3 linked regions of the Elephas maximus indicus genome follow. The protein of the gene in region 2 interacts with the protein of the main gene of each other region in a biochemical or structural test. Links are inferred from orthologs where the notes say so. Each region holds a gene or a part of one and is shown on either strand. Other genes may lie near its edges. The genes, in order: CLDN1, TJP1 and CLDN7.

What was found.
Region 1: the proteins of TJP1 (region 2) and CLDN1 form a complex in vitro, tested with the Homo sapiens proteins (2 studies listed by BioGRID and IntAct, with this or other methods). The link is inferred for Elephas maximus indicus from reciprocal best matches to the Homo sapiens genes TJP1 and CLDN1.
Region 3: the proteins of TJP1 (region 2) and CLDN7 form a complex in vitro, tested with the Homo sapiens proteins (2 studies listed by BioGRID and IntAct, with this or other methods). The link is inferred for Elephas maximus indicus from reciprocal best matches to the Homo sapiens genes TJP1 and CLDN7.

Annotation. Positions count from the first base shown.
Region 1 is NC_064819.1:24,727,129-24,730,873, reverse strand, and holds the start of CLDN1 (claudin-1), read right to left. Parts: upstream 2,686-3,745; 5' UTR 2,464-2,685; coding exon 2,241-2,463; intron 1-2,240.
Region 2 is NC_064831.1:94,005,872-94,009,616, reverse strand, and holds the start of TJP1 (tight junction protein ZO-1), read right to left. Parts: upstream 2,791-3,745; 5' UTR 2,776-2,790; coding exon 2,603-2,775; intron 1-2,602. UniProt on the Homo sapiens protein: TJP1, TJP2, and TJP3 are closely related scaffolding proteins that link tight junction (TJ) transmembrane proteins such as claudins, junctional adhesion molecules, and occludin to the actin cytoskeleton.
Region 3 is NC_064837.1:13,597,340-13,601,084, reverse strand, and holds CLDN7 (claudin-7), read right to left. Parts: upstream 2,678-3,745; 5' UTR 2,198-2,677; coding exon 1,975-2,197; intron 1,136-1,974; coding exon 971-1,135; intron 847-970; coding exon 762-846; intron 656-761; coding exon 493-655; 3' UTR 388-492; downstream 1-387. UniProt on the Homo sapiens protein: Plays a major role in tight junction-specific obliteration of the intercellular space.

The sequences.
Region 1 (3,745 bases), on a different chromosome or scaffold from region 2:
CTCTACACCAGGTGGGTGTGAGCACCACTGCTCAAGTGAGGAAACCGAGACAGTTCTCTGGGCTCCATCAAAAGGCAGCCAGTGAGTCACTGGTAGGTTGGGGGAGTGAACCTGTGACTCACAGCTCTCTCCTGGGAATGAGTTTTGAGAGAAAGGCCTCAGTCCTTGGATAAACCCTGGCTTAACCAAAATAAAAAGAAGAAATCTGATCAGGAGGAAAAGGGGAAAAAAAAAATCAAACCCATCAGCGAGAAATCTGCAAGCACGTACGTGTAGGGGGCAGGGGGAGGGGGAGACGGAAAGGGAAAGTATAGCTCTTCTACCATAGCTTTAAAAACTGCAATAACTGTATAATTAGGAACAAACGAAAATAAAACATGTGAACACATTACCATGTGGAGGGAAGATTTGGTTGAGCATTTACGACATAGATAAATCTGATTCCATTGAGTCATGAAAGGAAATTAAAAGAAAACCTACCTAAACATGTTGAAAGTAAACAACTTTGATCAAAGAAATAAAATTGACAACGAGGCTTCTCCAGAATTCCCTTCGAACCTTCTCTATCTGCCAATCCCTCAACATGGCACCCAAAATGTACAGTCTCTGACACTGTCTACGGGGAAATCCAATGAATATTTCCCAAACGTTCATGTTAGAAGAGTAAACATAACACAGATGGACAATAACCAACACATAATTACTAAAAGTATAAGTTAGTTTTGGGTACATAGGAGCCCTGATATGGAAACTTTGAAAAGCTGAAATGACAGTACTCAGTCCTCACATACAGAGTGATCCAATTCCACAAGTGTTTAGACAGATTCAGACCGTATCTATTTTATAACTCAAAACGACCCATCTTTTTAGAAAACCACATGTACTATTCAAAGGTGCACCTCAGTAGGGGGTGGACAATGCAACCAATGTAACCTTGAGCAATCGCCATGTTGTTTTACTTTCTGGGGCAGTCTGATTGCACACATCACCCTTAGCACTCAGAGGGACTTGATGGGCTGGTAGAGCACTGCTTGTTTACGTAGGCAAAGACCGAGGGAGCTAGTCAAGTTAGTTAGAAGAGTGTAACAGATGTACGGTGCCTGAGGACGGATACGATTTATTAAGACAGTTTAGCTATAGTCATTACCTAATGAAGAGGGCATTCAATGGCTTTCTTGACGTGGCACTCAAAAAGTTTTATTTTAAAAAAGAGAGGAAAAAAGCTCCTATGACCCTCTCCACACCATCCTTAGAAATACGCCAGGCTACACAGTCCTTTCCAGCTTGATAGAAGTGAGAAGACATCCTTCACAGAGGAAAGTCCTTCATGGAGGGCAGAAACTTGGAGAAGCAACCCCTCCTCATCTCCACGTTCCTCCCCTCCCCCAGCTGGCCTGGACTGTCATCACCTGTATCCATTTTGTTGCATTTTTCTTCAGCGCCTTTGTCCCTCCTTTCATACTGTGATTGGGAAGGTATTTAGAACTTGTCAGACTTTTCCACCTGCTCCCAAACTTCTCAACACCACCCAGCCTGCATCTTCTGAAGGTGCCCAGTTTGAGAGCTAAACCCTTTGGGGGAATCTCAGAGGCTTCTTCAAGGAAAAAAGTCTTGGGAGAGGATGCAAAAGGTCCTCCTCACCCTTACCGGATCTTAGAAATAGAAGGACCAAAATAATAAACCACAAATGGAAGCAGAAGACACTGTGATGGGACTTTTACTCTGGAGAGTCATTCTAAACATTAAAAAAAAAATCATCTAAGGCTTTGGAATTATCTATTTCCTTTTACCAATTTGAGCCTCCAAAGTTTTCAAGCCATCCCTTTTTAAAAATTTTATTCCAACCCTACCACTCTTCAATTTACACACAATGTGAGAATGTGTGTAAATTGAATCTGATTATGCTAAGAGCTTAAATTGGAGTTTGTCCTCCACCCTCTCAATCCACCCCCTTCCCCTAATCCGAATTTAAGATAAAACCACTCTTAGAGAGGAGAACGGTGTCGTCCAGAGAGTTAAAGGCAAAGCTAGAGTTTAGCCCTGGGCCACCCTTCTCCCAAACCAGGGTCCTGTCCACTTCCTCACGACAAGGCACAAGATCAGAATACCTGAGTAACTGACGACAGATAAACACACAATCACCCAACAGAATGAGCTGAGAGCCACTACTCCGTAACGGGGCCATGGGCTTGGGGTCTCCGGGCGGCGCGGTGGGTGGGTGGGGTGGGGGATGCACTTACTGGGCAGGTTGAGCAAGGAGTCAAAGACTTTGCACTGGATCTGCCCGGTACTCTGAGACACGCAGGACATCCACAGCCCCTCGTAGATGGCTTGAGCGGTGACGATGTTGTCGCCGGCGTAGGAGTAAATCTTCCACTGGGGCAGCGCGGTGCTGACGATGGCGCCAATCCAGCCCAGGAAGGCCAGGATGAAGCCCAGCAGCTGCAGCCCCGCGTTGGCCATGGCTCGCTCGGCGCCCGCGCTGGCGCAGGAGGCAGGTGGAGGAGGCGGAGAGTTTGCAAGTGTGCAGGCGGGCTCCGAGGGTGGCGGCGCCGCGCCGGGGAGCCGCTATTACGGAGATCCCTGCTTTCGGCACCGCCGCTGGAGAGGGTCCGGGTACCGGGCGGGGTAGGGCACCAGGTGGGCGCTGGAGTCAGGATGCTCCCGCTCTCAGACTCCGGGACTGGGAAGCCGGACTGCGGGCGCCGCAATTTAAAGCAGCCCCACCCCCGGCCCGGCCCGGCCCCCGCGCAGCGCCCCCTGGCGGGGAAAGGGAGGCTCGCAGGCAGGACGAGGCCGCTGCGCCCTAGGCGGGCCCTGCGGCTGCGGTGTGGGGACAACTCTTCCAGGACTAGACACTGTGTGCTCCTGCGCTCTCTCCTCTCCCTGTCTTTTCTTTCCTATTGGCATGCTTCTCCAGCTTTTCATTCATTCATTTATTCACTCACTGACTCACGCAATCAATCCACCTGTATCAAAAACTTAACCCTGGACGTGTAAACTCTAAAAATGCATAAAGATGAAAAAGAGACCTCAAGAGCGGCACATGTGAAATCTTCTTTTCAGTGTCTTATTAAAAAAAATTTTCTTTTTGCCTGCCCTTCCTCCCCTCCCCCTACCTCTCTCCTTCCTTCAGCTCCCCTTCTCCTTTTCTCCCTCTATCCTCTTCTTCCCATCCTGATTTCTCCTAGAATGTCAAATCTCTCTCTGCAAGAGTCATAAAAAGACCTATATTTTATAGATCAGGAAAATGAGATCAGAGAGGAAACCAGGTTTTCGTAAGATCACACAGCACGCTAGTAGCGCTTCCAGGACTTGAATTCCCGGCCCCGTCTGGTTTCCACCACATTTCAAGATGACCAGAACCTCCGCCCTTAATCCGTCTGGGTGCTTAGAAAAATGCATCTCACCCCTCTACACACACACAAAGCTTTTTCCCCAAAGCAGTTTGGCTTAGAGCAGAGCTTCATTATCACAGGAGCCTGGTCAGTGACCTCCACCCAAAGGCGAATTTATTAGTGAATTATCAGATAGAATTCATGAAAGGTGAGGTTATCTAAAAAATCTTTTCCCTTGGAATCATGAGGTCTGGGCTGGGATTTAGGAAGTCTGGGTTCTGGCTGGGGCTTTTGCAGTAACTGGCTGTGGCACCCTCTTGGGTTTTGATCTAATTGAGCCTCAAGTTTCCCCTTGTGGGTCTCTGAAGGTTCCTTCTTTGTAGTTACTCAGAAGTGGTGTTGTGGTT
Region 2 (3,745 bases):
AGGGACAGGGAGCATGTAAAGCTTCACATGAATCTTCATAAAGAAGTGCAAACCATGTGTGCCACCGAGGCACCTAAACTGGCATAAGCAGGATGCATTTCAAGTTCTGACACACATTGCTAATGTCTGCTAAGGGTTTCCACGTACCCCCTGCAGTCATAATCCTCATATTTTCTAGCCATGTAATTGCGCCTTACATCTCAAATTCTCCTCCATGCAGTTGCTACAACCCAGTAAAAGGAAACATTATCTAGAAAAAAAAATTCCAGAGGGTTTAAAAGATAAACAAGCACAATATCCTCCAACTTAAAAATAAATAAATAAAGATTATACGCTATGTTTAAAAGTACCACCCACTCTGAGAGTGTTTGTAGAGTGTGCGCTTCATTTTGTCACTGCAGAAACTAGACTAACATTTGCATATCCATTTCACACTGAGTAGAAATTCTGAAGTGGTCATCTAAGATTATGGAAAAGTCCATCAAAATCCTCTGGCGTTTTCCAAGCTATCTCTTAGAAAGATGGTTTTTATCATGGCTTCCAACCAGTTTGTTCCTGCTGAGAATTTGCATTTCTAACAAGTTCCCTGTTGAGAATTTGCAGTTTCACCCCAGATATACTGAATCAGAATCTACATTTTAACAATACCCCCCAGGTGATTCTTATGTATAACTTCCTGGGAACTTGCTAAACGCGAATTCTCAGCAGGGGTTAAACCAGTGAACATCCGAAGCCCTGGTTTTTATCCCTGGCCTAGTCCACTGCGTGCCTCAAATATGAATCTCCACAGAATAAAAGTTACACGGATTTCACTTGATTGTGTCCTCTCTTCACAAACTCGATATTCTGGGAATGTATTTACAGAAGCAGTGCTCCAATGATGAAAACGAATAAACTTAGCTTCCTCATTTTGTGCCCAATTGCTGCTAATATTCATGCCTAACAGCTCCTCAAATATTAATTCCACACTTTAATTTTTAAATATAACATCAAGCAAGCAAATTTCCTTGACTTTCTTTCTCGATCATGTATGACTAATAATTAATTTATTCAATAAACATTTATTGAGAAGCTATTTTGTACCAGGGGATCTCTGCAGGGGGTTTGGCAGTGAACTAAGCAAACGGAAAGGGGCAGTGATGGCTCCCTCAGTGGTAGAATTCTCATCGTCCTTGTGGGGGAAAAAAAGGAGACCCACGTTCAATTCCTGACCAATGCACAGCCACCACCCATCTGTCAGTGCAGGTTTTCGTGTTGCTATGATGCTGAACAAGTTACGGCAGCACTTCCAGACTAAGACAGACTAGGAAGAAATGCCTGGCAATCTACTTGTGAAAATCAGCCAACGAAAACCCAATGGACCACAACAGTGTGACCTACAACATCCATGGTGCATGGAATCACTTGTGCACGGAGTTGCCACTAGTCCCGCCAACTTGACAGCAGCTAACAACTATAAACAGGTAAAAGGCCCACTGCCCTTAAGCAACTAACAGTCTAGTACTGGGAAAGGCAATTACATGAAAAACAAGTAAAATACTGTACTTTTACACAAATATCTTTATGGAGCCCTGGTGGTGCGGTGGTTAAGAGCTCGGCTGCTAACCACAAGGTCAGCAGTTCGAATTCACCAGCCGCTCCTTGGAAACCCTATGTGGCAGTTCTACCCTGTCCTATACGGTCACTATGAGTCAGAACCGACTATACCACTTTGTTGTTGTGTGGTTTCTGATGTATCTTTATATACCTCGAATCTTCCTTTCATGTTGTCTTACACAGCAGAATTGCTCCTCAAATGCCTAAAAGCAATCTTGGTTCCTTTTTTCTAAAACCTTAAATTATCAGTTTAATCTTGTCTATTTTTTTTTTTTATATACTCACAGTCTTTTTACTTGATTACTTGTTTTTCGATAATGCCTTGCACCTAAATCTCAAATCAATGTAATGCCTCGAACGCCACTGGGGTTCCATGTGACATAATTTAAATGGCAATAAAACAGAACACACAACCTGACACACATCTGTATAACTTGCAGACATTTTTCTTTATGGGCTTTCTTTTCCTGTCACCTCAATAATAGTTTTCAGGCGAGGAACTGCAACTCCTGCCGATAAGGCATAGCCCCTGATAATGCAATGATAATCTCACGATTTATTCCCGTTTACATGGGACCAGCTTGTCCTCTGCCATGTACCCAACAGCAGATGGACTTTGAAAAAATCACAATAAGCGCATAACGTGACAACAAAATTTTCGCTGCCTCCAAGAAAGCCTGGCTTGAAATTCTGAGCCAGAACTGGCTGGGACCGAGACCCAAGGGCCGACCCCCAGGCGGGAGACCAGCGCCCCGAGGGGCCGGGCCCGGCCCGGCCCCCTCCCGGCCACGCGCGGCGCTACGTGTCGCCGGGCACAGCCGAGGGTCGCGGCGGAACATGTCCCCGGTGCCGTGGGAGGCGGCGGCACCCGGCCCCCGGGCTTCGAAATGGCTGCTGCGCCCTGCGCGCTCCGCCGGCGGCCTCGCTGCCCGGCCCGGCCCGGCCCGGCCCCCGCCCGGCGCGGCCACTGCCCCGGCGCCGCCACCCCCGCGCGCGCCGCGCTCACCACAGCTTCCTCTTGAGCGGCAGGAGGCTGCCGCGGTTGGACGGCGTGACGCCGATGGCCATCTGCAGCACCGTCAGGTATTTCTGGTACTTCATCTTGTCCCCGCTCCGCTCGCGGGCAGGGCCCCGCCGCCGCCGCCGCCGCCGCAGACACAGCCCCTCCAAGCGCCGCATAGATCAGCTCTGGGCCATCGGCCGCGGCCGCCGCCACAGCCCCCGCCACTCCCGCCGCCGCGGCGCTGTGCGCCCGGCCCCGCTCCCGTCCCGCCGCCGCCGCCGCCGCCGCCGTGCGTGCCCGCCGCTCCCGCCGCCGCCGCTCCCGCCTCCGTGCGCGCTCGGGCCCCGCTCCCGCCTCCGTGCGTGGTCGGTCTCCCGCTCCCGCCGCCGTGCGCGCCCGGGCCCCGCTCCCGCCGCGCTGTCGTGCGTGGCCTGGCCTCCCGCTCCCGGCCTCGCCGCCGCCTCGCTCCCCCTCCGCCTTCGCGAGTCCTCCGCGCGGCCTGCGGATGCGCCCCGCCGGTGCGCACAGAGGGAGCGGCGCGCGCCGGCCTCACAGCCCGCCAGCCTCGCCTTGCCCCGTCCTGGAGCTGCGGGCAGAGGCCGGGGCGTCCCCGCGCCCCCTCGGGCTTCAGTTTTTTTCAGCTGCTGACAGAAAAACCAAACCCGTTCCTGTCGACTCTAATTCTCTCTCACAGCGACCGTATAGGACGGAGTAGAACTGTCCCATAGGGTTTCTAAGGCTTTAACCTTTACCGGCGCAGACTGCCACATCTTTCTCCTGCCCAGCGGCAGGTGGGTTTGAACAGCCGACCTTTTCATTAGCAGCCAAGCACTTAATCTCTGTGCCACCAGGGCACCGTAGCTGCTGATAGGAACTTGCTTTTAACTGTCCCCAAAAGAATCCCAACAGTACACATCCAGAATGAATAACAAAAAAAAAAGAATGACAGTAATTTTTAATTTATAATTACGATGTAATGATTTGTAACCTCATCTATTCTAAAGTTTTTTTGTATTTATATCTATAGATATAGATAGGGATGTGTGTGTATATATATATCTATGTTGATTTATCTACCAGCTGCCACCGAATCCATTCAAACTCATGGAATCCCACACTACCATGCAAAGTGAGCAATATATATGT
Region 3 (3,745 bases), on a different chromosome or scaffold from region 2:
ACCCTCCCCCATGCCTAATAAAATCTTTATTAAAAAAACTCTGATAGCTATTTAAGCAAGGGTTGTGACTGGGGGAAACTGGAGGCTGGGAACCGTTAAGAGAAGCCAAGCCCCTTGGTCTTTAGAGTCAATAGCCAAGGTATTGGGGCCTGAATTACAGTGAAAAGGAAAGGGAGGAGGGGCAGGGACAGCCTTGCACATCAATAATGCCCAATAAGCATTTTTGAACAGAGCTACAAGTAAGTGCACTTAGGCTTCAGGCTCCCTGCTAGAATCTGGGCAGGAAGAAGAGACCCTGAAGGGAAAAAAAACAGGCGTGTTTTCCAAAACATTTTTATTACTGTACAAAAAGCACACCCTGCCCCCCTTTTTTTCCCCTCACCCAACCCACCCCCCTCAGAGAACCATACTTTGTGTGCAGCAGGGCTGGGATGACCACAGGGCCTTTGTTGGGCACCCTGCCCACACACAGGCTGAGCTCTCTGCCCCAGGTCACACATACTCTTTGGCAGAGTTGGATTTAGGGTAGGAGCGGGGCGCCCGGTACCCAGTTTTGCTCTCACTGCCTGGACAGGAGCAAGACAGCAGTGCACCCCCCAGAAGGACCAGAGCTGACCCTGCCCAGCCAATAAAGATAGCAGAACCAAACTCGTACCTGTGAAGAGAGGGAATTGGAGTTAGAAACCCAGTCTGCCTCTGCCCTCCTCCCCACTCCAGGACCCCAGACCTGTCCCTTTAGGAGGCAGGGCTCCCAAACTTACTTAGAATTCACGGGGATCAGGGAGTTATAAAAGTCTGCGACAATCTGATGGCCGTACCAGGAGCAAGCTATTAAGGCAGCCAGACCTGGAGACAAAATGGGAGATTAAGATGTAGCGAGCCCTCGACCCACGGCTCTGCTCACCCTTGTTCCTCTGGGACTGGGGAGAGGAGGACCTTTGGGCAGACAGGCCTCGGTACTGTGGCTCACCTGCCACGATGAAAACGATGCCTCCCGCCATGGCTATACGGGCCTTCTTCACTTTGTCGTCTCCTCCACAGCGCGTGCACTTCATGCCCATCGTGGCCACGAACATGGCCAAGAAGCCCAGCACCAGCGATACCACCATTAGAGCTCTAGTGGCCTGCAAGGCCGCTGCAGGGAAGAGGGAGGGACGCCGTCATTGCTGGTGATGCGGGCGGCTATCGGGCGGCCCCAGCCTTCGCGCCGCCGGCCGCGCCCACTAACCCCTGGACCCTCGTCTGGCGGACGCTCGGGTCCCGCGGCCGGCCTGGGGCCTCGCGGCGGCCAAGCCCCAGACCACGGCCGGCTGGGTCCCGCCCTCCCGGCGCCGCGGCCTTCCTGCTCCCGCCCCGCCCTCTCCTCTCAGGGAGCCGCCCGGGGCCCAGGGTTTCGGTGAAACTGCCCCGGCGAGGGGGAAGGGTGAGCCGGGGCTGCGAGGAGGAGCCGGGCGGCGACCCGAGCCCGCGCACCGCCGCAGGTCCCGGGCCGCGGCCCCGCTCCGAGCCCGCTATCGAGGCCACCGGGTTTGTGGCTTCGGCTAATCGGCCGATAAGATTAGAGGCCGCAGGCGGCGGCCCACGCCTGCCAGGCCGCGCGGCTCCCAGGCCTTCGACCCAAACCCCCTTTTGTTCGAGAGAAATGGGCGGGAGGCGGCGGAGGCCACGGCCTGGCTACAGCGGCTGGGCAGGGGGCGGCCTCAGGCGCCGGCCCCCACGAAGGGTTGGGCCGCGGGCGGCAGCCGCGAGGGGGCCCGGGCCGGACGAGGAGGGCTCTGGCAGCAGGAGCGGCTCGGGTGCGGCCGGCCAGCTCCCGCCCGGCACCCTAGCCTCGCCGGCCGCTTCTGCCTCTTCAGCGCCTCGCCCGCTCCCCGGCGACCCCGGGGCCCCGACCGCTGGGCCTCGGCCCTGCCCCGCACCCCACCCCCGACCTCGGCCCTGGGCGCGTCTGCCCCGTCGGTCCCACGGCCTTACCGGACAGAGAGAGCATCGAGTCGTACATTTTACAGCTCATCAAGCCGGTGCTCTGCGTGACGCATTCCATCCACAGCCCCTTGTACATGGCCTGGGACGTGATGATGTTGTCGCCCGCGTACGAGCTCATCTGCCACTGCGGGATGGCTGTGCACGCCACCAGGCCCACCCAGCCCACAAGAGCCAAGGAAAAGCCCAGCAACTGCAGGCCCGAATTGGCCATTTCCCCCCCTCAGAAAAGACGGGGCTCCGGGAGGGCGACCCTGCAGTAAACAGAACTTGAGGGGCAACCCCACACAAAGGCAAGGTGGGATAGAGTTTTAAGTCACCCAAAGATACCAAAAGTTTTTGGTCGGTGACAGCAAATCTTGTCACCCAAAGTGAGCACAAATCGATTCCTCAGGCAGGGCGAGGGTCTCGCAGAAGAGAGGACAGGCTACGCCTGGAGGAGTGGCTCCAAACAAAAGCGGTCTGCTAAGGTCGGGCGGTTCCCGCCGGTGCTGCCCGGGCGACCCTGCCCAAACAAGGTGGAAGGGCTGTATGGGCGCGGTCTCGGGTTCTGGCAGGCCCCAAAATACCCCGGGCTGTCGGCCCCAGGCTGCGGTGCGCGGAAGAGGCTCCTCTGCGGTAGGCAGGCAGGTGCGGGCGGACAGGTGCGGCGCACCTGAGTATATGTAGGGCGTCGGGGCCGCGCCCCCGCGGGCACTGGGTGCGCGGGACGGGAGAGGCGGGACCGGAGGGGCGGCCGAGGGTGACCTGACGTCACCGAAGGGACACTCACCTGAACCGGAAGTTCTGGCCCCCACCCCTCCTAGCCCAGGTAAAGAGGAAGAAACCTGAGTATCAGGGTCACGCCCCTTCGCTTGCCCGGCTTTGACCGGAGGTGGGGAGGAGGCAGCACTTCTTCGGAATTCCAAACTCAAAATCAGCCCCTCCGGACTAGACTTCCCTTAGCGACCCATATGCCCCTTTCCCTCACCCCAACAGGTGCACCTGGGAAGCCGCGGAGCCAGAGCGGGGGGACGACCTCTTCAGTTTCGACTCCACCTCCTCCCCACCAGGACTCTGGGTTTCTGGTCTAAATGGTCTTTGTCCCTCCCTGCTTTCCTCCCCACCCTCTGCTTTTTCCCTTTTTCTTCAGTCTCCTCCCTTAGCGATCACACATTCAGGGGCCCTGGCCCCAAGTCCTCAGAAGTCCCCGCTTCTGCACCTTCTTTAGGATCTCCATGCTCAGCGCCACCACCTCAGCGCCACCACCTCAGCACTCCTCTTCGATGTCCCTTGTAGTCCGTGACGGAGCCTTCCAACAGACACCCTACTTCCGGGCATGGCTCCCCAACAACCCGCGCCTTTCAGGCCCCCCATTCCCATCCCTGACATGACTTAGTACCTGGATCCCTCTCCACACTACCTTCGGGCCTGGCTCTGGTCCTCCTCCTGCTCCTTGCACCAAGGTTCCTTCTAGCAGAAACCCGCACAGCACAGGATAGAAAGCATAAAGGAAAAGCCTAGCTCAGAGTATTGGCCACACCTGTCCTTCCTCTTTCTTGGAGTCTTTTGAAACCAGTCCCCACCGTCTCCCCTCCCCCACCACACACATTTCTTTCCTTCAGGCTGAGCCAGGAGCCCTCTATTTGTGTTCATTATTGGACCTCCTCAAGTTGATGTCCTACCTAATATTTGAACTCTCTAATAGGGCCTTTGAATCACCCCCCAGGTCCCCAACTCACACCCTGTTCTTTTTCTCACTCTTCCCAAGCAATTACCCCAT